4 linked regions of the Drosophila melanogaster genome follow. The protein of the gene in region 3 purifies or fractionates together with the protein of the main gene of each other region. This does not show direct contact. Each region holds a gene or a part of one and is shown on either strand. Other genes may lie near its edges.

Evidence for each region.
Region 1: the proteins of CG8654 (region 3) and SPE purify together in Drosophila melanogaster (affinity purification with mass spectrometry, with the first as the bait; one large-scale study listed by BioGRID). This does not show direct contact.
Region 2: the proteins of CG8654 (region 3) and Sil1 purify together in Drosophila melanogaster (affinity purification with mass spectrometry, with the first as the bait; one large-scale study listed by BioGRID). This does not show direct contact.
Region 4: the proteins of CG8654 (region 3) and FipoQ purify together in Drosophila melanogaster (affinity purification with mass spectrometry, with the first as the bait; one large-scale study listed by BioGRID). This does not show direct contact.

Annotation. Positions count from the first base shown.
Region 1 is NT_033777.3:23,684,394-23,688,680, reverse strand, and holds SPE (Spatzle-Processing enzyme), read right to left. Parts: upstream 2,427-4,287; 5' UTR 2,396-2,426; coding exon 2,320-2,395; exon of another isoform or gene 2,144-2,319; intron 1,970-2,143; coding exon 1,577-1,969; intron 1,361-1,576; coding exon 1,051-1,360; intron 991-1,050; coding exon 567-990; 3' UTR 534-566; downstream 1-533. Other genes in the region: CG18754 (uncharacterized protein), read right to left, coding at 2,805-3,201, 3,267-3,500, 3,976-4,287.
Region 2 is NT_033777.3:25,233,125-25,237,070, forward strand, and holds Sil1 (Sil1 nucleotide exchange factor), read right to left. Parts: upstream 2,406-3,946; 5' UTR 2,274-2,405; coding exon 2,138-2,273; intron 2,075-2,137; coding exon 921-2,074; 3' UTR 512-920; downstream 1-511. UniProt on the Drosophila melanogaster protein: Required for protein translocation and folding in the endoplasmic reticulum (ER). Functions as a nucleotide exchange factor for an ER lumenal chaperone of HSP70 family.
Region 3 is NT_033778.4:19,977,491-19,985,273, forward strand, and holds CG8654 (uncharacterized protein), read left to right. Parts: upstream 1-1,751; 5' UTR 1,752-1,819; intron 1,820-3,049; exon of another isoform or gene 3,050-3,331; intron 3,332-3,386; exon of another isoform or gene 3,387-3,785; intron 3,786-4,619; exon of another isoform or gene 4,620-4,714; intron 4,715-4,807; 5' UTR 4,808-4,818; coding exon 4,819-5,213; intron 5,214-5,415; coding exon 5,416-5,559; intron 5,560-5,621; coding exon 5,622-6,591; 3' UTR 6,592-7,405; downstream 7,406-7,783.
Region 4 is NT_033777.3:29,494,876-29,499,423, forward strand, and holds FipoQ (F-box involved in polyQ pathogenesis), read left to right. Parts: upstream 1-1,665; 5' UTR 1,666-1,802; coding exon 1,803-1,898; intron 1,899-2,124; coding exon 2,125-2,449; intron 2,450-2,511; coding exon 2,512-3,130; intron 3,131-3,188; coding exon 3,189-3,356; intron 3,357-3,424; coding exon 3,425-3,628; intron 3,629-3,687; coding exon 3,688-3,823; 3' UTR 3,824-4,048; downstream 4,049-4,548.

The sequences.
Region 1 (4,287 bases), on a different chromosome or scaffold from region 3:
TCCTTTTCAATGCCACTCCTTTTCAAAACCAAAGCAATGTCATTCTGCTGGTCTACGGAATTAGGCAACTATTGGTCATGTACAATGCCCTTCTCCACCTCGTGTGTGGATATATTTCAAAATTTTAAGCGGATCCAGGTGAAATCGTTGTCGTTTATGGCATCCCATCTGAATGTTGGACCCACTCGGAAAATGCGCAGATGACCATTAGCAATAGTAGAAAATTCCATTCCATGGAAGCCATCTCGATACCCCAGAACCCAATCCGATACTGACCAAGCTCTCCGGCACATCTGCCGTCTAGATTGACAAGTGAGATGGCTATTGCAACAGAGATAAATGAGTTCCAGAGATTTTCCTCTACTTTTCCATTAGAATATGGGAAATTACGTGGGCAAGCTACTACCAGACTTTGCTGATCACAGATTGACAGAAAAGTGGTTCGATATTATTACAACCGGTTGTGCTCGCAAAACTTGACAGTGCCGATCTCATGTGAATTGATTAAACCCCAATATCTACATCGCGCTTTTCACATGGTTATCATGTATTTAAGTATGTATTCATCATGGCTCCAATTTCTGCTTTATCCAATCGATGAAAGCCCCCGTGCGGGTATAGACGCCGGGCCATCCCTTGAGGCCGCAGGGCTTCGTCCCGTAGGAGGTGACGCCGGCAATGTAGAAGACATCCCGGCCGCCCGTGGATATAGGCACCATAAGGGGACCGCCGGAATCGCCACCGCATGTATCCACGCCCAACTGGCCGCCGGCACACATCTGAGAATCGTCCAGTTTCACCTTGAAGCTGGAGTACTTTTCCTGACAACTCGTTAGGTTCCAAACGTTGACGGTGATCTTCAGCTTGATCGCACTTGGCTGCATGTTCTCGGTAAGTCCCCAGCCGGCCACATCCATGCCGTAGTCCACAAAGTTGTTTTGGACTAAACCATCCGTGGGAAGGCATATTGGACGCACGTAGTCGGTGTAGCTGTGGCAAAAACAAAAAAGCAAGTCAGTGGAATAATTGAGGGATCTCTGGACCACATACCTAACAATCCTCTTAAGGCGCACCAACGCAATGTCATTACGCTGATCAACGGAATTGGGAGCATACATCTCGTGGATGATGCCCTTCTCGACCTCAATGTCGATGTGTTTCGGTGCACAGATGCGCTGTCCGTTCATCTGGGTGGTGCAGTCAGGATCGGTACGAGTGTCCCACTCCCCCAGGCGAACGCTGTGTAGAACGGCACCGGATTTGTCCAGTTCTCGGCTGGCCAGGCAGTGTCCAGCGGTCAGGACGTAGCGCGAGTTGAGCAATGCACCGCCGCAGTTGAAAGTGTAGGTTTCAGAAAAAACTGAAAGGATAAAGAGCGTTTCCCAAGTACATATTATAAATTGATTAGATACTAATAATAGCCTTGTATATATTGAATATGCGTTTTCTTATAATGATGATCCCCCCATTGGAGAATTTGATTTGAAAAAGTGATTAAAAAATGATTACAGGTGACCTCGTGAAACAACCTTCCTATAAGAGATTAAAATAGAGCCTGGGTAGGTAATCTACTCACGTTTTTTGTACTGCAGCAATACCATCCATGGGAATTCCCAGAGGGTCGTATTGGTGCCCCCGAAAATGCGATCAGCGAAAAGGAAGCCGCAGACGTCATTTCCAGGCAGCACATCCCCCTGCTGCAGTGCATCCCTCGTCGAAGGAGTTGGTTCCGAGTCCATGATATTGCCCCGCATGCTCTGCGGACAGCAGACCAGGATTCGATTCACCAAGCCCTCAACCCTGTTGTCCAGGCCACACTGGCTCTTGGAGAGAAGGATTCGCTGGGCGGGAGTCTTTGGCTCCACCATCAGCAGGTTGGCCAGGTAGGGGCAGCTGGTGATGTGAACGCACTGGCCGCGCTCATCGCTCTGCTGGGGCGTACAACTGCCAAAGCTGATCTCCGCTGCGTCTGGAAGAGAAGAGCGCGATTTACGATGCAGTCTAACCGGTTCTGAACCAATCCATTAAAGGCAATCCATTCTACTAATGGACTTCATGTCTAATATTTCTCATAAAATTTCTTAGTCCGGGAAACTATATGTTGATATTTAATATATTTGAAGTTTTCAAAAACTCTTTGATTATTAGTTGTTATGGTTTTTATTCTCACAATCAACAAGGTCAAGTGCTTAGTTTTTCTAGCTTTATTCAAACTATATACTATACTATACTATATATATAGAACTATATACTTTTGAAAGAAGCACCATTGCATCCAGTTGCTGTGGATATTGTTTGCCCAAAGGACAGCTTACCCACCTGATCGATGGACCAAGCCGGATAATGCGCTGACCACCAGTGACAGTAGCAGAAAATTCCGTTCCGTAGAAGCCATCTCGTCGCTATGGGCTCCAAGCTGATACTAACCAAGCTGTCCGGCAGTTTCGCTGTCACCGATTCTCTCCCGATGCATTGGGCGTGATTAGCAGAGGTTATCTCCGGACTCAATACCATCTAGATTGCAACAAAGGCAAAAGCTATGTGAATAGGGTGGTCTTTCCCTGCCTTAATATTTACATAGTAGTTCTGCTGAGCTGGGCAAACCCAGCGGTGTAGTTATTAGAAATTTATTTATGCTTAATCTTCTCTCGGCACGTTATGTTTTTTGAACAACACGTTTTTTAAAAAACAATCTTCAGTGCTTTTTCTTATCTTTTGGGGTTTTATAGGTCTATTACTTTATAGTAGTGGATTAATGGAACAGATGCTATTCCAATTTTGCAAATATGAATTCTTTATTAAAATTAGGGAGCCAAATTCGCTTTGATCCACTCCGAAAAGTGGCCAATTTTTGTGTAAACACCTGGAATACCAGCAGAGTAGCAATATTGTTGTCCATATGAGGCAATGCCTGCCAAAAAGACGAACTCGTCGACGCCGCTTCCCATGATGCCCATTACCGGACTGCCGGAGATGCCCGCACAGGTGTCCCCTTTCCGTTGACCACCGGCGCATACTTGGGACGCGGAGCGAAAGCTGGGATACCTATTCAAGCAATCAGCAGGATTCCTTTCCTTGACCGTGCTGGTGATCAACGTTTGACTGCTTTTAGTCGGATCCCAGCCAGAGATTTGCAAATTCAAATCCTGTAGGGGAAATTCGGCGTCCAATAGACAAATGGGTTGGATCTTTTTCGTGTATCTAGCGGGTTTGTAAAGAAATTTCCATAAGATGTGGAGATTAGGGTGGAGATCACTGCTACTCACCGCACTGGGAATTGCAATCGGAGGAGGGCGATGTCGTTGCGGTAAGTTCCGCCACTCGAAGTGAAACCCTGATGTACTGTTGTTTGCCCCACCTCCACATCCAAATGTGGACACCTGCTTTCCGAGGTGATGCAGTCGGTAGTGGACTCGCCCAGGCGCACACTCTTCAGAACCAGGTCATTCTGCGTCAAGTAACCACCGATCACGCAGTGGGCAGCGGTCAGCACATAGCGACTGTAAAATCCCAAATGAGAAGACTTTACTCGTTGAGTTTTTGTAAGAAACTAATTTTATTTGGAAATATCTTCGGTTTAAATAGGTGACATGAGAATCGCATCTTAAAGTAAATGGCCTACGCAGAGGCCTAAGTAAATAGTCCCCGCCTTATCGAGGTCCCACGCTCGGGCACATCTGCCTATCTTGAGCGGCGAGGACCTTATCTGTGGTCTCCCACTAAGGGACTATTTTAGGAGGCGGGGAAAGATCTCAAGTGACTGACTCATGTAGTGTGCACTTAAATTACATGTTTTTGAGCAATGCACCCATGTCGCCTTAGATAACAAAATCCTAAATATAATTTATCGCTCTCGATTCATTTACATAAGATATGAACGGAGCCCAAAATTGTAAGTCTTTAAATATATTCGTGTTCATGTGTGAACAGCGACTGTTGATCAGTGAGCCCGCACAACCAGTTCGTTGATTCCACATCAAGGATAGCCGATTCTCATATAACAGCAATACCATCCAAGGGTACTCATTAAGCTCTGCATTCTCGGCACCCCGATCTCGGAACACGGGCGTCGTTTGTCCACAGGTCTGTTTGTTGGGCAAGACGTCACCCAACTCTGGGCAGCAGACATAAACCATGTGCAACAACTCGTGTCCATTGGGGTCCAGGCCACACTGCCTGTGTGCAAACACATCTTTCTCCGCCTGGGTCATGCCCCGGGGCCTAAGGATGTTCATAAGCGGCGAGCAGCTAACCAGTCTGGTGCATTTCTCATCCTTTTGGCAGCTT
Region 2 (3,946 bases), on a different chromosome or scaffold from region 3:
CTCCCTTCCAGGCGCTGCTTCACCTTTACCACTCCACCTATCCGACCATCCACCGTCGTGACTCAGCCCCAGTGACATTGCATTTGCATGTGACTGCCGCTAATTGCTGTAATTCCCGCGCTGGACTTCGACTCCAACTTCCAACTTTGCCGGCACATAATTGCACTCTCCTGCTCCGATGTCCTTTCTCCTCCTGTACAGTTCCGTGCCAGGTTTTCCCTGTTCTTGTGGCTTCGTTTGGCTCACATTCAAACTTCAAGTGGTTTTTTGGGACATGCTTTCCTCGGCGTTTTTGCTTTCCTTCCGACACTTTTGACTTACTTTATGGCCCGGTCGATTATGCTCGCCTTATCGGGCTTTAAATGGGTCTGTAGTTCTATAGGGGTGGAATATCCAATCTCCTAATGCGATTTCTTGATTGAAAATACATTTCCTTTCATAATTTAGCACTACATTTTAAGAATATGCCACTGAAAAGAAGTCAACTGATTTAAGAAAGAATTTCTAAATTAAACATTAGGTCATTGCTTTATTATTGTAGCTACAATAAACAAGAACTTAAGGCTTTAAGGATTCATAATCTGTTTGGAGAACAATTCTGTAGCATACAAATTTTTGCTAGTTTAATGACGTGTAACAACATAATTATTTTGATGTGCTCGTTGGTGAATCGTCTGCCTATTAAAAAAAAATCACACTTAAAATAATCTTAAGTAAGAGACTATATTTGATAACGAAAATCCTGTAGATGTTTGGCATGATTGATTGCTATCCTAAGTTAATGACAAAGAGCATTATTTTTGCATCACAAGTACTTGGCATCTTAGCTATCGTATTCTATGGTTTGGCTGCGAATTTCATTCCAACTCAGCTTACAATTAAATGAAATTAACATAAATAACATAGTAAATTGGCTAGGATTACAGTTCGGTGTGCTTGGGCTTGTTGAACAATCTCTCGCACAGTTTGGCCAAAATCTGGGACACCTCCAGTCGGTACTCGTCCGTGCTGTTGGCATACCGATTGCGAACGGTTAATAGTGCATGCCTGAGACCGGAACTTTGCGACCACGTGCTGGTGCACATATCTTCGGTGGTCTCCAATGCGGTGGCAAACTGTTCCACCACCTCCGGTTGCTCTAGGAGGAGCAGGAACTCCTTGGTTAGCACAGTGTCCACCGCCGCGCAGTAGCCCGGCGTTTTCAGCCACGACTCGAAGTCCAAGAGCACATATTGCGCCATTGTGGATGAGGCTTCGGGATCATCTTTGCTGACATCCAGCACTGACCGCTTCTCCAGCACTAGGTCGCTTATGAGAGTCACTACCTTCGCCTTGCTCCGCAGCTCCACATCCGGACTCTGGAGCACCTTGATCAGAGCCTGTGTACCCGAGGTGGAAAGCACTCGCTGCTGGGCTAGCGGAAATTTCCGCAACAAGGCTCCAAAGGCGTGCAATGCAGCGGAGATCTCACCGACATTTCCGGAACTGGTCAGAATCTGAGCCAGATGAGACCCGAAATTCTTTTCGAACACCTTGATCTGGGCCTTGGGATTGTTGCTCGCCAGCGAGCCCAACACACGCATGGCCGACACTCTCAGGGATGTACTGGTATCGTTCACAACAATGGGCAGTAGTACATCATCCAATCCCCCATTATCAATGAACATCAAGGCATTGTCTATCTGATGGAGCAAATACTCCAGATTTTCCAGGCAGTCCAGCTTGGAGCGCATCTCTGACTCTAGCGGCGTTCTGCTGAAGTTCCGAAACTGATCGATTAACTGGACGATCAGTTCTCCGTCGGTGCGAAAGTTCTTCTGGAACTCTTTGTACGCTTTGCGTAGCTCGGCATAGCTCTTCTTCTGCTCCTTGACCCGCCGTATAGACTCCTCGATTATGTCCGGTTTATAGTCCAGAGCCAGGGGTTCGTTGTCATCGTGAGATTCCCGAGCATTCTGATCATCCGGTTGACTCTGCAGCGACGTGCCACGTTCGCTTTCGTCTAAGAGTTTGGCTTCCTTGAGCCCCGTTTGTAGGTTGATGCGCACGTGCAGGCCCCTTGGAATAGCTTGACCTGGAAATATAGAGTGCTCACTTAGTACACGTCATCCGAGAGTTAGCCTGGCTAGCCATTAACCTTCCGCAATCGTCTGCCATTCGTCGGTGGCCACGAAATCGTTGGTTTTGTTATCCGTTTCCGTTGCCGCTGCCACTTGTAAGCATCCCAGGATCAGGACACTGCCCAGAAGGATGACTACCTGCTTGCCACTCATACTGCTTCAGCTTGTCTTGCCTCCAGAATGTATTCAGTCTTTATTTCACCTGGTTTTAAGTAAGTTTCGTGAGAGTTTTTAAATCAGATTTCAGACTTCTGATGTGGATGTGGTTAATAGTATGACCGTAGGGAGCTGCATTGATTATACCGCATGTGGCGATATGTTCCGTGGAGAGCCAGTCGATTCGGAACCAGTCAAAGGCGGTTACAATTCAATTTCAAATTTGAAAATATTTGTAATCAATAAATTCGTTATAAACAATAGAATATATTAAAGTATTGAAAAAGTGTAAACTATATGTATGCTTTATAATCTTTCTTTATATTTATTAGATTGTGCTGTTGGACATTCCAAGCCAAATCTTATATAAATAAGTAATACAAAAATTAAGTAAAAATTTTTATGGTTAATTTTTGCTCTTAGTCCGGAATAGTTGGAAACTTTAAATGATTTCAAACATTATTTCGCTAACAAATTAATTTTTATCCCTAACGAACACAAATATTAATATTTTTAAACCTTAGTTTGTTGTGAAAAACAAGCATTGCTAGAAATTTCCAGACTTGAAATTAATATTTAAGAACCAGAAAAAGTTAATGCCATTCAGAACGATTAAACCACATCAAACCAGAATGCCACCAAAAATTCCCAAACTCATCGTGAATTCATTAAAAATTGAAAAGTAACCGCCATTCATAAGCTTTCCACTTCGTTACAACGTAGCTAAACTAGTTATAAACTAAACGTATTTACTGAGTTTACAAAGAAAAACGAAATCATGTTTACGCGCAGATGAATCAACCAACTCAAAATTGAAATGCCAAATTATTTGCAGGCAAGCCCGACGTAATAAAATAAAAGCGTGTTTGCATATATTACCATATTTCGCCCCCGAAAATCCGTTGTAATCTCGATGTCTACGACAGCGTCTAGGAATTGGCTGCGCAAACACATCAAAGTGGACAAAAGTGAAATATTTGGACTCACCTGGCGCCAATTGGATGGGTAAATAAACAGAATGCCGGTTTCATGCCAATCACACACCAAATATACATATACATATGTATATATGTAGTATATGCTAATTGCTGATGACGAACGCCAGGAGCCTTTAACTAGAATTTGCCAAATTAAATTCACTCGGCCCGTTCCGAACGTCGCCTGTCCAATAGTTTTGAAAGTGAAGCCACCTCGCCGAGCAACTTTTATCCGTCGATCCATCCATTATCGATTATCGATGCCGTTGGAACCTGTTTGATGTCGTCCAAAATGCCCGACTATGTCTAATTGGTTTATGTCGGAATTGAGTTGTGTTGGCCACAAAAAGATTTATCTTCGTACATATGTCCAAAACGGAAATTTCATAGTTGGGAGCCTTGGGATGCATTCTTCCTTCTGGTCGGAATACAATTTCATAACTTAAGTGATTTTTATCGTGGATCCTTAACCATGACCTATTCATTATCATTCCCTTTCAGATTGCCTGGCCATTTAGCACACTTAGGAATTCCCCCAGAGGTAGGTTCCCAATTCCAAGTGCTGATCTCAAAGCAAATATGGGATGAATAATATCATAAGCCAATAAGTACGAATTGATATTTGCACTTTATTAAAAGTGTGAACAAAGCGCGGATTCCATTTCACGGAGTTTGAATCTATAAAAAGTACAC
Region 3 (7,783 bases):
GTCGTGGGTGGTGGTTCGCTGAGCGGTATTATGACAGCTGCCCAGCTGACTGACAGGCTGCGGTGAGAACTGCTGTCGGCGGCGGAAATTAAACGCCTCGATTTGCGTGCCCGTCACGCGTAAATCAGGTAACACAAGGCCCGACAAGGCTGCTGGCCATCAAATTCATTAGAACCGATACCTACATATGTACCTTGAAAAACCAAAAGTTTCTATGAACCCTGAACTAGTAGTCATACTGTTTCTACTTCCATATTTAGTAAGCTGGATAAATGGTTCTTCATAGGTATAAAGCTCATTAACTAAAAATTGTTTAATGGGTAACCTAATACTTTTCCTGAAAGTGATTAGTGTATAAATGACTTAAGTGCGATAAAAACCTGAATTTAATCTGGTCTTAACGAAGTATTCAACCGATTAAGCAGCAACGACCTAGTCGGCCAACAACTAATGATCAGGTCACTCATCAATCTGTGAAGTGTTGGCAGACCGCTCATCATCAACCCCACCAGCTTCTGGGATTAATCCCTAGCCCCGAAACCACCGAAATGGGCAGCCGCATTGGATGAGCCGTCCGCTGATTTATGTGACACACATTAGGACGACCGGCTAGTTCGTCCAGTGTAAATTGAAAGGGGCCCGGCAACGAAACTGCAACATATCGCCGCGTTTTATGATGCTTCGAAATTAACAATTTTAGCTGCCCGCAGCGGCAGCCGCATTCCATGTTAATGCACTTTATCGCCCCCGGCCAGGCGAAATTACTCAAAAAATGGCGCACAAATTGCAAACAGGGCGCGCATAAATTAATCGAAGCCTAGGCTAGCGAAATTAAAACATTAATCTGCGCACCCGACCAAGCAGCACAATAATTAATGCTGGCTAAAATTTATTAATTTATTTATAAAGCCAAAAAGGGCGGCTGAAAAGGCACTGAATAAGAGGTGCGAATCGTGGTCCGAATGCGAGTCCTACGGATCCTCGAAAGAAAACGAGAACGGGAATGGGAATGGGAATGATGGAAGTGCCCAAGTGCCGTCCGACAATAAAAACCAAAGACATCTTCAAATGGCCCGGGATGAAGTGGACAGCCATGAGGCAGCTTCCTTGGCTCTGCTGGACAGTGCGCAGTTTTTAAAAATGTCAGTACGCCCTCTAGGGACAGATTAGCGATTAATCTACGGGGCATGGTCACATGGACGCCCTTCGGACAACAGACTGCGGACTGCGGTCCTCCTCGTTGCTGGGAGGACGAGGTAACGATTAAAAAATCTCCACATAAAAGACTGAGCACTTAATCAAAGAGGATTTAGAGAAGAACTAAGGGGCGATTACAGAGGACGGACGGGGTAAAAAGCCAAGGCAACCAGAGCCAAAACCGTTGATGCGGCTCTTTGTTTCTAGCTGCTTCTTCTCACAACGCATACCCTGCAATCTCAGACTGGGCATTTCAGCAATCTAAGCTAATAAAGTAAAGAAGATGATATAATAGTGTACGATACAAAAAGTGTACGAGTATCCATATTATTAATCATATGGTGTGGCATACTTTTATAATTCTAATGAATGAAACACGTACTTTCATTACTTTCAAACACTTTGATGCATTTTCCCTTCACTCAGGTAGCTAATTGCAGTGAGACAGACAGGCAGATGCTCGATAAGTAAACAGGCAGGTTAAGGTGTGTTTCTGCTTCAAGGGTGGTTTGGCAATTTTTCCATTTATAAAGTAAGGTGAGTATATTGATTTTTCGCAGTTGGAAGCGAACACTTGGCAGGTGTGAAGTGCTGATCCAGAAAGGAGCTAGTCTTGGCACAGGTAAGTTTTCCGCTTGAAATTTCTCTACCTTGTTATTAGAAGTCTTAAAATTCACTAAATATTTATCTATTTCGTTTCTGAGATAATCATTGGAGAGCATCTCCCAGTCGCCATGCTCTCGCATTAATCGCCTTACTTGGATTTTAACTACATATTACAAGCACTTTTATTTCGCTAAGCGTTGCTCATAGTTTTCGGTGCGCTTTTTCATTGCCATGCAGCATCCAGCTCCACCTCCAACTCCACCTCGATCCCCTCGTGAAAGACCTTAAATAGTGGCAAAGACATCTCACAGACTTGGCGCGCTGCATTTGTCAATTTACTACGAGCTGAAAGGGGCGTGGCCGCGCATAAAAATGATATATGTGAGCGCTGAGTTAGCAATTTTCGTATGAATTGGCAGAGTTGCAGTTGCTGCTGATTCTGCTGCTGCCGTTCGCTTTATGAATTTCTTTATGGCCAACCTATAAAATATTTTGATTGCACCATGGTGTGTTCGGATGAGGGGGCAGTTTGAAATTAAATGCCTGCCGCTTGATTTGCTCGCTGGACCTCAAGTGGATTCCTCGCAATCCTCGTCCACTCGACCACTGTCCACTTCAGTTCAGTTCAGCTCGGACCTGGCCTGTTCGGACCTAGCCCGTTCGGCAATTATGGAAGAAAAACCGCAAAGCGCTCCAAAGCCGGCCCAAAACATTTGTTGGCCTTGCCAAGTGCTTCTCTGTGCAGCGCCAGAAATTTGGCATTTCCCCTGTAATCCTTTTGTGTGCTAATTGGAGCGTTGCCGGGCCATATATATATCCCCTGGAAAATATCTGGCCCAAACAGTCCGCTTGCCGGCCCATTCGGGGCACTGAAATCGGCTTAGAACACTTGTCAGCCCACCAAATGTAAATATTAAACGGGGCCATTTAAATGGATTTAGTTTCGCAAATACACAGTATATCGGCTGGGCCTTGAAATTTTAGTTTCAGATTTAAATAAATAAATAAATAATATTAATAAAGGGTATAGTAAATATTTGGTGGAATTCTCAACTTCAAAATAGCATGTGACTCATACAAAATATACAACACATCGTTAATATATACTATATTAATACATTACTGAACTGGTAGCTCTTAACATCAATACATCTTTTAAAAATTAGTCACGTGTAATTAAAATGTGTCTTTTTAGGATAATTTATTACCTTAACATATTAATAAGTTGATTTGCACAAATCAAAAGTTTGTATCTACAGGAAACGTTTAGGAACTAAAAATATTACTAAAATTATACTCAATTATCGTCTTGCCAAATAAGTCAACAATGCGACTCGCTTTATTGATATTTGGACTTTCAATATCATGGGTAAACCAAACATTTTGGAGTTTGATAAACGCGTGCTAAACTGATGAACACTGCGTGATTATGTTTGGATTTCATTGTGATCAGCTATCGGATTCACGGCGAGACATCTCTATTAATTTATACAAAACATCATCTATTTTGGAATACAGGAGCTATAAGGTAGGCTAAGCTGAATGTGTGCTCAACTGATTATATGATTAACATTTGCCCAAAGGCTTTCTGCAGGTAAACAATATATACGTGTTATCTCGCACAAGTTGGCCAGAAGTTCAGGGCATTTGGCATTATTTGTCATATTCGCGACGCTTGTCGAACGCCTCTTATCATCTGGGATTAAAGTACACACGACTTTATCGCCATCTCAGTTGCTTTTCTCATCCGGCGAGACAAGATGAGATTTTTCTGCCATTGATAGTAGAGCGTCGAAGCCCACCAGACGTAGTTCAAAAAGTGCGAGATTGCGAACAGAGTATTATCAATCAACTTGCTGAGTTATATAACTCGGGCGGTAGACAAGCCCCCGAAAAGTTCCGATTACTTAATATAAATAGAATTGGTTTCGACCTACTTATAACTGTTTTTGTTTTGATTGCCATTTAAATCGGCTCTTTAGGTAAGTGCTTTTTGCCTCACATATATAAATGAGGTAAAATATGTTAATCGCAATTGAAATGAGCAGGACAACATTCAAATGCCATGAATGCAGACAATGGCATTGCTTTAAACATTGGGCATTTGTTTAGTTCCCAAGTGAGCGCTTTGTGTCTTGCCAGATTTAGCATGTGGCGATCGTATTATAACGCTGCGTTTTGTCATTCATTGGCCAGCCAATTTGCATATATAATTTATTTGCAATTGTTGTGACATTTTGCCAGCCACTGACGATTGCGCCAAATGCCTTCGCCAGACAGGTTGTCGTTGCCGTGGGAACTTGTGGCGGAATCTCCGACCAGAAATCTCAGACCTTCGTCTCTCTCTCCGGTTCAACTTTCACTGAGGCAGTGCTTCCTTAATTAAGCCATCTTAATGGGTAACTGGGGCTCGTTCGGTTATCTGCGGGCAGACAATGGCTTAATCTGCCAGCTAGATCCCAGCATCATCGGGCCGGGTCCCCGGGCGCACCTTCCTTCAATTAACCAGGCAGCCAACTTCATTTACCTACTTAAAGAGTAAAAGTTTAGCGTCTTAGCCCCAGTCTCTTGGCCTTTTGGGCTGACAAACTGCAGCGGCGCATGGAGGCCGTACTCCTATTTCTATTTTCAAATGCCATTTTGGCGGTGGATCCAAGCGGCCAAGTGCTAATGCCCCCAGCCCCGCCGATTGCTATGTCTTTGAGCTCCAACTTGTCACGCTGCCACAGACTGGAGCTCTCTCTCCGCGAAAACCGGTTCTCTGGTGGCCGGTCGCAAACGAAATCTCCATCTGCCCGGGTTCCATATTTCACGCCAGTCTGCACTGAGCCGCACCGGTCGATATGTCCAATTTGCTCTGAGGCCGGCAAATATTTGAGAAAGTCCACCCACTAAGAAACCAGTCGGCTTGGTAGGCCACTGCACTGAAAAAAACAAATTTAGAATATTTTACAAACACTCAAAATATACACTTTTTTTTTGACTGACAGCCAAAAATCATTAGTTTTCAGCAACATGGCCGATCGACCGCAGGATCCAAAGGCTCCAAAGCCACTGAAACCCGTCACCAAGACAGGTGATCCGATAATTTCGCAGATCGGCGACTTCCGGCGCTACCAGTTATTCTTTTTCTTCATCGTTCTACTGTGCAAATTTGGCACGGGATGGCACACCCTCGGCCACATATTCCTCGCAGCACCAACGCCGTTATCCTGCAAGACAGAGAACGTCACGGATCCCTGCAGTGACGAATGCTCCGAGACCGAGTTCGACACTAGCGTCTTCCAATCCACCATCATAACCGAGTGGAATCTCACCTGCGAAAGCAAACAGCTGGCTAGCTTGTCCCAAAGTATCGTCATGCTGGGCATTTTGTTCGGGAGTATTCTGTTTGGCATGTTCGCTGATCGGTGAGTATCTCAAGATTATTAATAAGTTTTCTTATGCTAAAAGAAACCTGAAAGCAAGTCGGTAAAATAGAGCCTTTGCTGGCTTACTAGTTAAACCACTAGATTAACTGGTGGACCATTAGCGAACACCTATTTATTAGTTTTAAAACAATTTTTCTGTTTTTGAGTTAGTCCGCCTACTATAGAATTTTTCAATTCCCAGGTATGGACGACGCCCTGCCTTCCTGACGTGCTGCTTCATGCAGCTGATCACTGGCCTCATCGTCTGCGTATCCCCCTACTACTGGTTCTATTGCCTCTTTAGGTTCCTGGTGGCTGTGGCCACGGCGGGAACGATGACCACCAGGTGGGTGTAAAGGCACTACCAAGGATATTCCCAGTAATATAAATGACTAATCCCATCCGCAGTTTCGTCTTGCTGATGGAAATCGTGGGACCCAAAAAGCGCGAAATGGTAGCCATTCTCTACCAAATCCCCTTTAACATCGGCCACGCCTCCCTGGCCCTGTTTGCCTACTTTATTCGAGAATGGCGCTGGTTCCAGTTCAGCATCACCATTTTCTCTATCGTGTTCGTGATCTACATTTGGCTGGTTCCCGAGTCGCCACGCTGGCTCTTTACCACCGGCAAGCTGGACAAGTCCATAAAGATTCTGGAGAAGATCGCCAAGTGTAATAAGGCTCCGACGGAAACGATTCGGCCGGAGATCGAAGCTGCCTATGGGGCACTGGCAGCCCGCCAGCCGGTCAAAAAAGGCACCGTCGTGGATCTATTCCGGACACCCTATATGCGGATAAAGACCATATTCATGGCAAACAATTGGCTAGTGGTTTGCATGGTCTACTACGGCACCGCTCAGTATGTCTCCGCGCTGGGCGGCAACATCTTCATCAGCAATGCAATCGCCGCCGGAGTGGGCATTCCAGGCACATGCCTCTGTGCGCTCATGACCAAGTACCTCGGACGCAAGAAGACCCTGCTTCTTTCCAATGGATGCAGTGCTTTGGGCTTAATCCTATTGGCATGCCTTTCTACTCAGGCAGAGGCTGTGCGTGTGACCTGCGCCACAATTGGACTTTTTGGCGCATCAATCACCTTTCCGAATGTCTACTTGTACGGCGGAGAGCTCTTTCCCACGGTTGTGCGTTCCAGTGGGGTTGGTCTCTGCTCGATGGTCGGTCGAATAGGTTCCATTGTTGCTCCGCTCATCGTCGATCTGGCTGCATACGGTCTGTGGGTGGCGCCCCTGATCTTTGGAATTTTCTCCATTCTGGCAATGCTCGGCACAATTTTCTTGCCGGAGACACGTGGAACTCCACTGCCGGAAACCCTGGAGGACGGAGAGACATTCGGGCGTAAAAAGAAGGACCAGGCATAGGGCTTTTCTCCCAGTGTTGCATCGGTGTAGCAAGGCGAGAATTTAAAATTTTCGAGCCCAGCAAAACTCCTAATGCCTGGGCTCTAAAATTATTAAATTTCGACTTAAGTTGAGATTTATACGATGCGATATGTCAGTCACCGAAAAGCTAAACTGCCGTTCGTGCCGCAAACAAAAGGCGAAAAGCAAAAAAAAATTGAAAAATCTAGCGAATGCAAAAGGTAATTACCGCGGAGTAACTTCCACTTCGTGATTATTAAAACTGGGTTAGCAGTCTGAATCCAGTCTCAATCGTAGCTGTTCTCCAACTGCCTTAATGTCGAGGTGCAAAGCAGCCAAATAGCTAACTGGAAAACCAGCCAAGTGACTGTGAATGCAAACTTCGCATGTGAACCCAATCGATAGCAGCTAAGACCAATGAAATTATATAGTAGAATTCAAGTAGAAGTGGAAACTGTTTCTCCGGATCGAAGTGCATCTCATAAAGTTTCTGTGGGCAAACACGAGGCTTTCAATCTGAGATATTTGTATCAGCTGTCGCTATAAGTCCCGAGAAATCTGTACCATCAAGGTCGTATGAAACATTTATTCGGTTGTTACGTTAATAGTTTAAGAGCCATGCAATGTAATTTTGAATCGAATAAATTGCATTTTAGCATTTCATTTAATAAAACAACTCTGCAGAATCGATTACACACATCAACGCGAATGACATTCACCGCGTTTCCATTAGGTCGACTCCAGTCGATGCCCATGGCAATTATCGGCAACCATCTCATCACACCATCTCCGCATCCACATCCTCTGGCATCGCGATGGGATGAGATGACCTTGGCCAGGCAAAAACCGGCTGGGGCACCACTCAAGGTTAATATTCATTGTCAACATTGGGTACGCCTCATTTGTATGCGGCTCTTGGCTCGGATCCTCGCTCCTCATTCAACATCCCTTTTCCACGAAGAAAAAATAGGTGAAAATGTACTTGGTTATATTAGAAAAAAAAAAAATAGTTGATTATAAAAAGTTAAATGCTAGTCAAATTTGAACATTAAAGAAATCATTGATGTAGGATAATTTGACTTTATTTAAAATGATTTTATTTTAAAAACTTGAAGAGTTGATGTTTCGAACACCTATTTTGATTTCTTTAATATTTTCTGTACGAAATTTGTTTCCGTGCATCTAGCAATCA
Region 4 (4,548 bases), on a different chromosome or scaffold from region 3:
CGATTTGCCAGTAATTTGCAACAGAATAAGTGAATTTGCCAAGTGAATTTCCCTAGTTTTTTTTTTCAACTTGCAACGAAAGTGCTAAAGTTACGAAACTGCACTTTCCACGTTGCACTTGCAACCCCAACAGTTTTTTCCACCAGATCCACCAGCTGAGGGAAAACTATTAATAAACCGGGCGAAGGATGAAACAAATTCAGATGTGACGCCCATCCTCGTCGAAAATCAAAAGTCGCAAGTGAACAATGTGTGTGTGTTCACTGAGTTTGCATAATTGTGAATTTGCTATTTTAATCGCCTGCGGGCATCAATTAATTAATTAATTAAAAGCTTTCCTTCTCGCACTCGTTTATTTGCGGAAAGTGTCTAACAATTTCGTTTGATCAACTAATCAAATGGGTAAATAACATAGTAAAAACGAAGTTTTAACTAACTGCTTTCGCTTGCTTACTTAATATACTTATACTTTCCAGAACTAATAGACTACTGAATATAGATTTCCTATTAATTTGCTTCAAAATGTGGTAATTTAATTAGCTTAGCTGCTTGTAAACTAATAATTTCTAAATAACAATTAGTTTGAAATGCTCAGAATTCAGTGTGACTAATTGGGAAAGCCTTGCAGAAATAGTTTAGCTCATGAATGAATGTATCTCATGCGAGTATAGCCGGCACATCTCCTCCCTTAGTTAGATACATAGATACATAGATACATAGATAGAAGCGGACGGATCCAGCAAGACCATACATACATACATATTGTACAGCTGAGACAGCGAACACCTTCAGCTTTCCGGCTGATCCCAATCCAAATCGCGAACTAGAGCGCAGTGCCCACCATGGATAATTGGAATGTTTTGGCAGCGCAAACCTCCTCGCAGGCCATCGGACTCCACGACTCTGGCGTGGTGAAGACCCGACTGGTGAGTACCCTGTACATAGAACATACACATGTGCAGATAGATATACATATTAGATGTAGTAAACAAAACAAAGCCAGACAGACGAACGATGGCGTATATATAGAATTCTTGGCAACAAACATTGTGCACTGAGAAAGTAAAAGGGGTTCGAAATCTATTATTACTATTAAATATATATATGCAAAAGCAGGCTGTGCGGAAATGTATCTTAAAGTAGGCGCTAAAGGATAAAGCTCAGAAGGTTATTCCTCGGGAAACAGAAGCATTTTCAGATGCATCTTAAAGTATCTAAGAAGTAGAAATATCTTAAGATGAATCCATAGGTTATCCGAACCTACAAAAGGTAGATACTATCAGCAATATCAGATACTTTTAGATATAAGTAAAATATAGTAAAATATCTCGAGATACTTTTATACAGCTTACTAATGATTTTGAATCTGACGAGGAAAGGAAGAGATTTGGCAGGGATTTTATCAGCATGTTTCTCCACGTGCACCGCTGGGTGAGTGGTGCTGGTGGTTCTAGTGGTTCTATTTGTTCTTAAAGAGTGCGTGAGTGGTGTGGTGCGTCGCCCGTGAACAGCACAGCTGATGCATCCGAAAGTAGAGTGATTGAGTGATGCGATGTGGCAGTGCTCTCGTTACTGGCGCTGGTCTATAAATAAGCCTAGGGTTCTCTTGAGTCTACTACTGCCTGGCGGATCTTTGGAGATTCCGATGGCACGTCGATGGGAATGCGGCTCGCAGTAGCGCGAAAGTAGCTCGATACGACGGATATTCTCGCCTCGCAGGCAGAGCACGCGTAGTTTGCCCCGTGTGTAGCTATATTTTTTTTTTATATAAGCAAGTGGTTCCGAATCATCCACACCCAGCCATGGATATATCCACCGATATCTGGGGTCAGCTGGCCGTGGAGGCATCGCAGGTCTACCTCTCCGACGGCACAGTTCGCAGTCCCTTCGCCGATACGGTACGATGGGTTTGGGATATTACTTAGGGATCCCACTCATTTGGGAGAGCCAGTCTGTGGCGTAAGAGAGAGTATCTATAGATTCACTCACCCGTAGAATATATAGCACCACATTCGCACTCAACTATTCCGAACTGTCGTTTAGATTTACATTTAGAGATCATATTTGAATCACTTATGTAGTACCATAGGATATACCACTATATATCGTGACTCTCATCCACAGACCATTGAGAAGCTGCCGGACAAGGTGCTGCTGCACATCTTCTCGTATCTGTCGCACCGCGAGATCTGCCGCCTGGCCAGGATTTGCCGACGATGGCGGCAGATTGCATACGACACGCGGCTGTGGAAGAACGTGAGCCTGCGACCGGAGGTCTCCGGACTGCACGTGGGCTCGCTGGAGATGCTGCTGCAGCTGATCTCGGTGAGATTCGGACCGACTCTGCGCTACATCGAGCTGCCCATCGAGCTGATCACGCACACGGTGCTCCACGAACTGTCCGCCAAGTGCCCCAATTTGACCCACATGCTGCTGGACTTCTCCACAGGTGGGTGCGCCACGTCGCCGATCGTCCGTCTTAAACTCTAGAGTGTCCTGTGTACTTCTTAGCCATGCAGCTGCACGACTTCAGCGAGATGCAGGCCTTTCCCACCAAGCTGCGCTACATGTGCGTCTGCCTCTCGGAGGTGATCTTCATGGAGGGCTTCATGCGCAAAATCTACAACTTCATCAACGGCCTGGAGGTGCTGCATCTAATTGGCACGTACGAGAAGTGCGAGGAGGAGGAGGAGGAGATCTACGAGGTGATCAACGTGCACAAGCTCAAGTCGGCCACGCCCAATTTGCGTGTGATCAACCTGTACGGCATCAACTTCATCGATGACTCGCACATCGACGCCTTCAGCTCGAACTGCATCCAGCTGGAGTGCCTGGCCGTCAACTTCTGCAACAAAGTGACCGGCTCCACCCTGAAGACCCTGATCCAGCGTTCCAAGCGCCTCACCTGCCTGCTCATGAACGGCACCAGCCTGAAGTCGGAGTTCGTCATGCAGGCCGAGTGGGACAAGTGCGCCCTGCAGGAGCTGGACATCACGGCCACCGATCTTTCGACCGAATGCCTCGTGGACATGCTGAGCAGGATCCCCAGCCTCAAGTTCCTCTCAGCCGGCCAGATCAATGGCTTCAACGACAGCGTTCTCAAGCAGTGGATGGAATCGGGCACCACCAGGTGAGCGGAGACAGTACCTACCCGTCTGTGTAAGCACTCCGATAGCAGTATGATTTAGGTCGCTCATTTCCCTGGACTTGGACTCCTCGGACAACATCTCGGATGAGGGCCTGCTTAAGTTTATACAGCGCCAGGGTCATCAGCTGAGCGCCTGCTGTCTCTCGGGCATGCCCCACATCACCGACCAGCTGTGGATGAGCATCCTGCCCCTGCTGGGCAACTGCAAGTAGGCGACACTATTGGTCATCGAATGAAAAGACATTTTATTATGAGCTGAACTTTCTTAACCTGCAGGATCATTGTTATGGGCACCGCAGAGAAGCTGGGCGTCAACATCCACGTGGACCAGCTGATGGACACCATCGCCTCGAATTGCGGCAACTTGGAGCGGCTGGAGCTGCGCTGGGATCCGGACAACCTGCGCTTCTCCGACAAGAGCCAGAAGGCCATCGATATTCTGCGCGTCAAGTGCCTCAAGCTGCGCTGCATGGTGCTCAGGTGGGTCTACATCAGACTCCTATTTCTATGCGGGATTAACATCAATATTTCGCTTCCAGCGATGGTCGCTACTATGAGACGGTCAAGGCCAACTTTGAGCGTGCCGATCGCATCACCGTGGTGCGCACCACCACCTGCTGCCGTGTGTCTCCCTATCACCTGCTCCGCAACTACAACGATTTGATTTTCAACTGAGCCTCTGAGGTTCAGAGCTGAAAGCCAAGAGAGGATTGGTAGCTTGCACTTACCCGGTTGCAGAGCTCTGGATGGGATTTACCCACAACAGGGCCGGAGGAGAAGCAATGTTTCTGTGTGTTTTCGCTTACAATAAGAGTGTTTTAATGTTTTCTGTATTTTCCGCTTCTTTCGTTTAATTACTTTAAATCTAAATAAACGTACATAGGTAATTTAAATAAAAACAAAACAAGGATTTGCTTATACAAGTTATTTTTACATTACAAAATTATACAACGCAACTTTTCGCCTTGCTCTCGTTTTTAAATCATTTTTTTTTTTTTTTTAATCATTTCAATCCGCGTTGATTCGTGTTTTGTTTTTAACTAGATTTACTTGGTAACTTGATTAAATCATTTTCAGACTTCACCACATAAAATGTTTATCGTTTTTGCGTTTTAGCGTTTTGCTGATGATTTTTACACTGCTTTCATCCATTGCAAACTTAATGCTAATTTAATTTTTTTTTTGTGTGTGTATGTTTCAACATTTTTGAATCGACTTTTTACCATAAACTTAACGTACATATGTAGATCATCTCCGTTTGAATTATCGTCTCATTGCCGATCAGCGTTCAGCTATTATATGCATGGTATATAATTTAGTTAAGCATAGCTGCGTGAGTTATACATACGTAATGTCTGTGCCTATGACGATATAGGATCGAAGGTGGGTGCTGTGGTCGA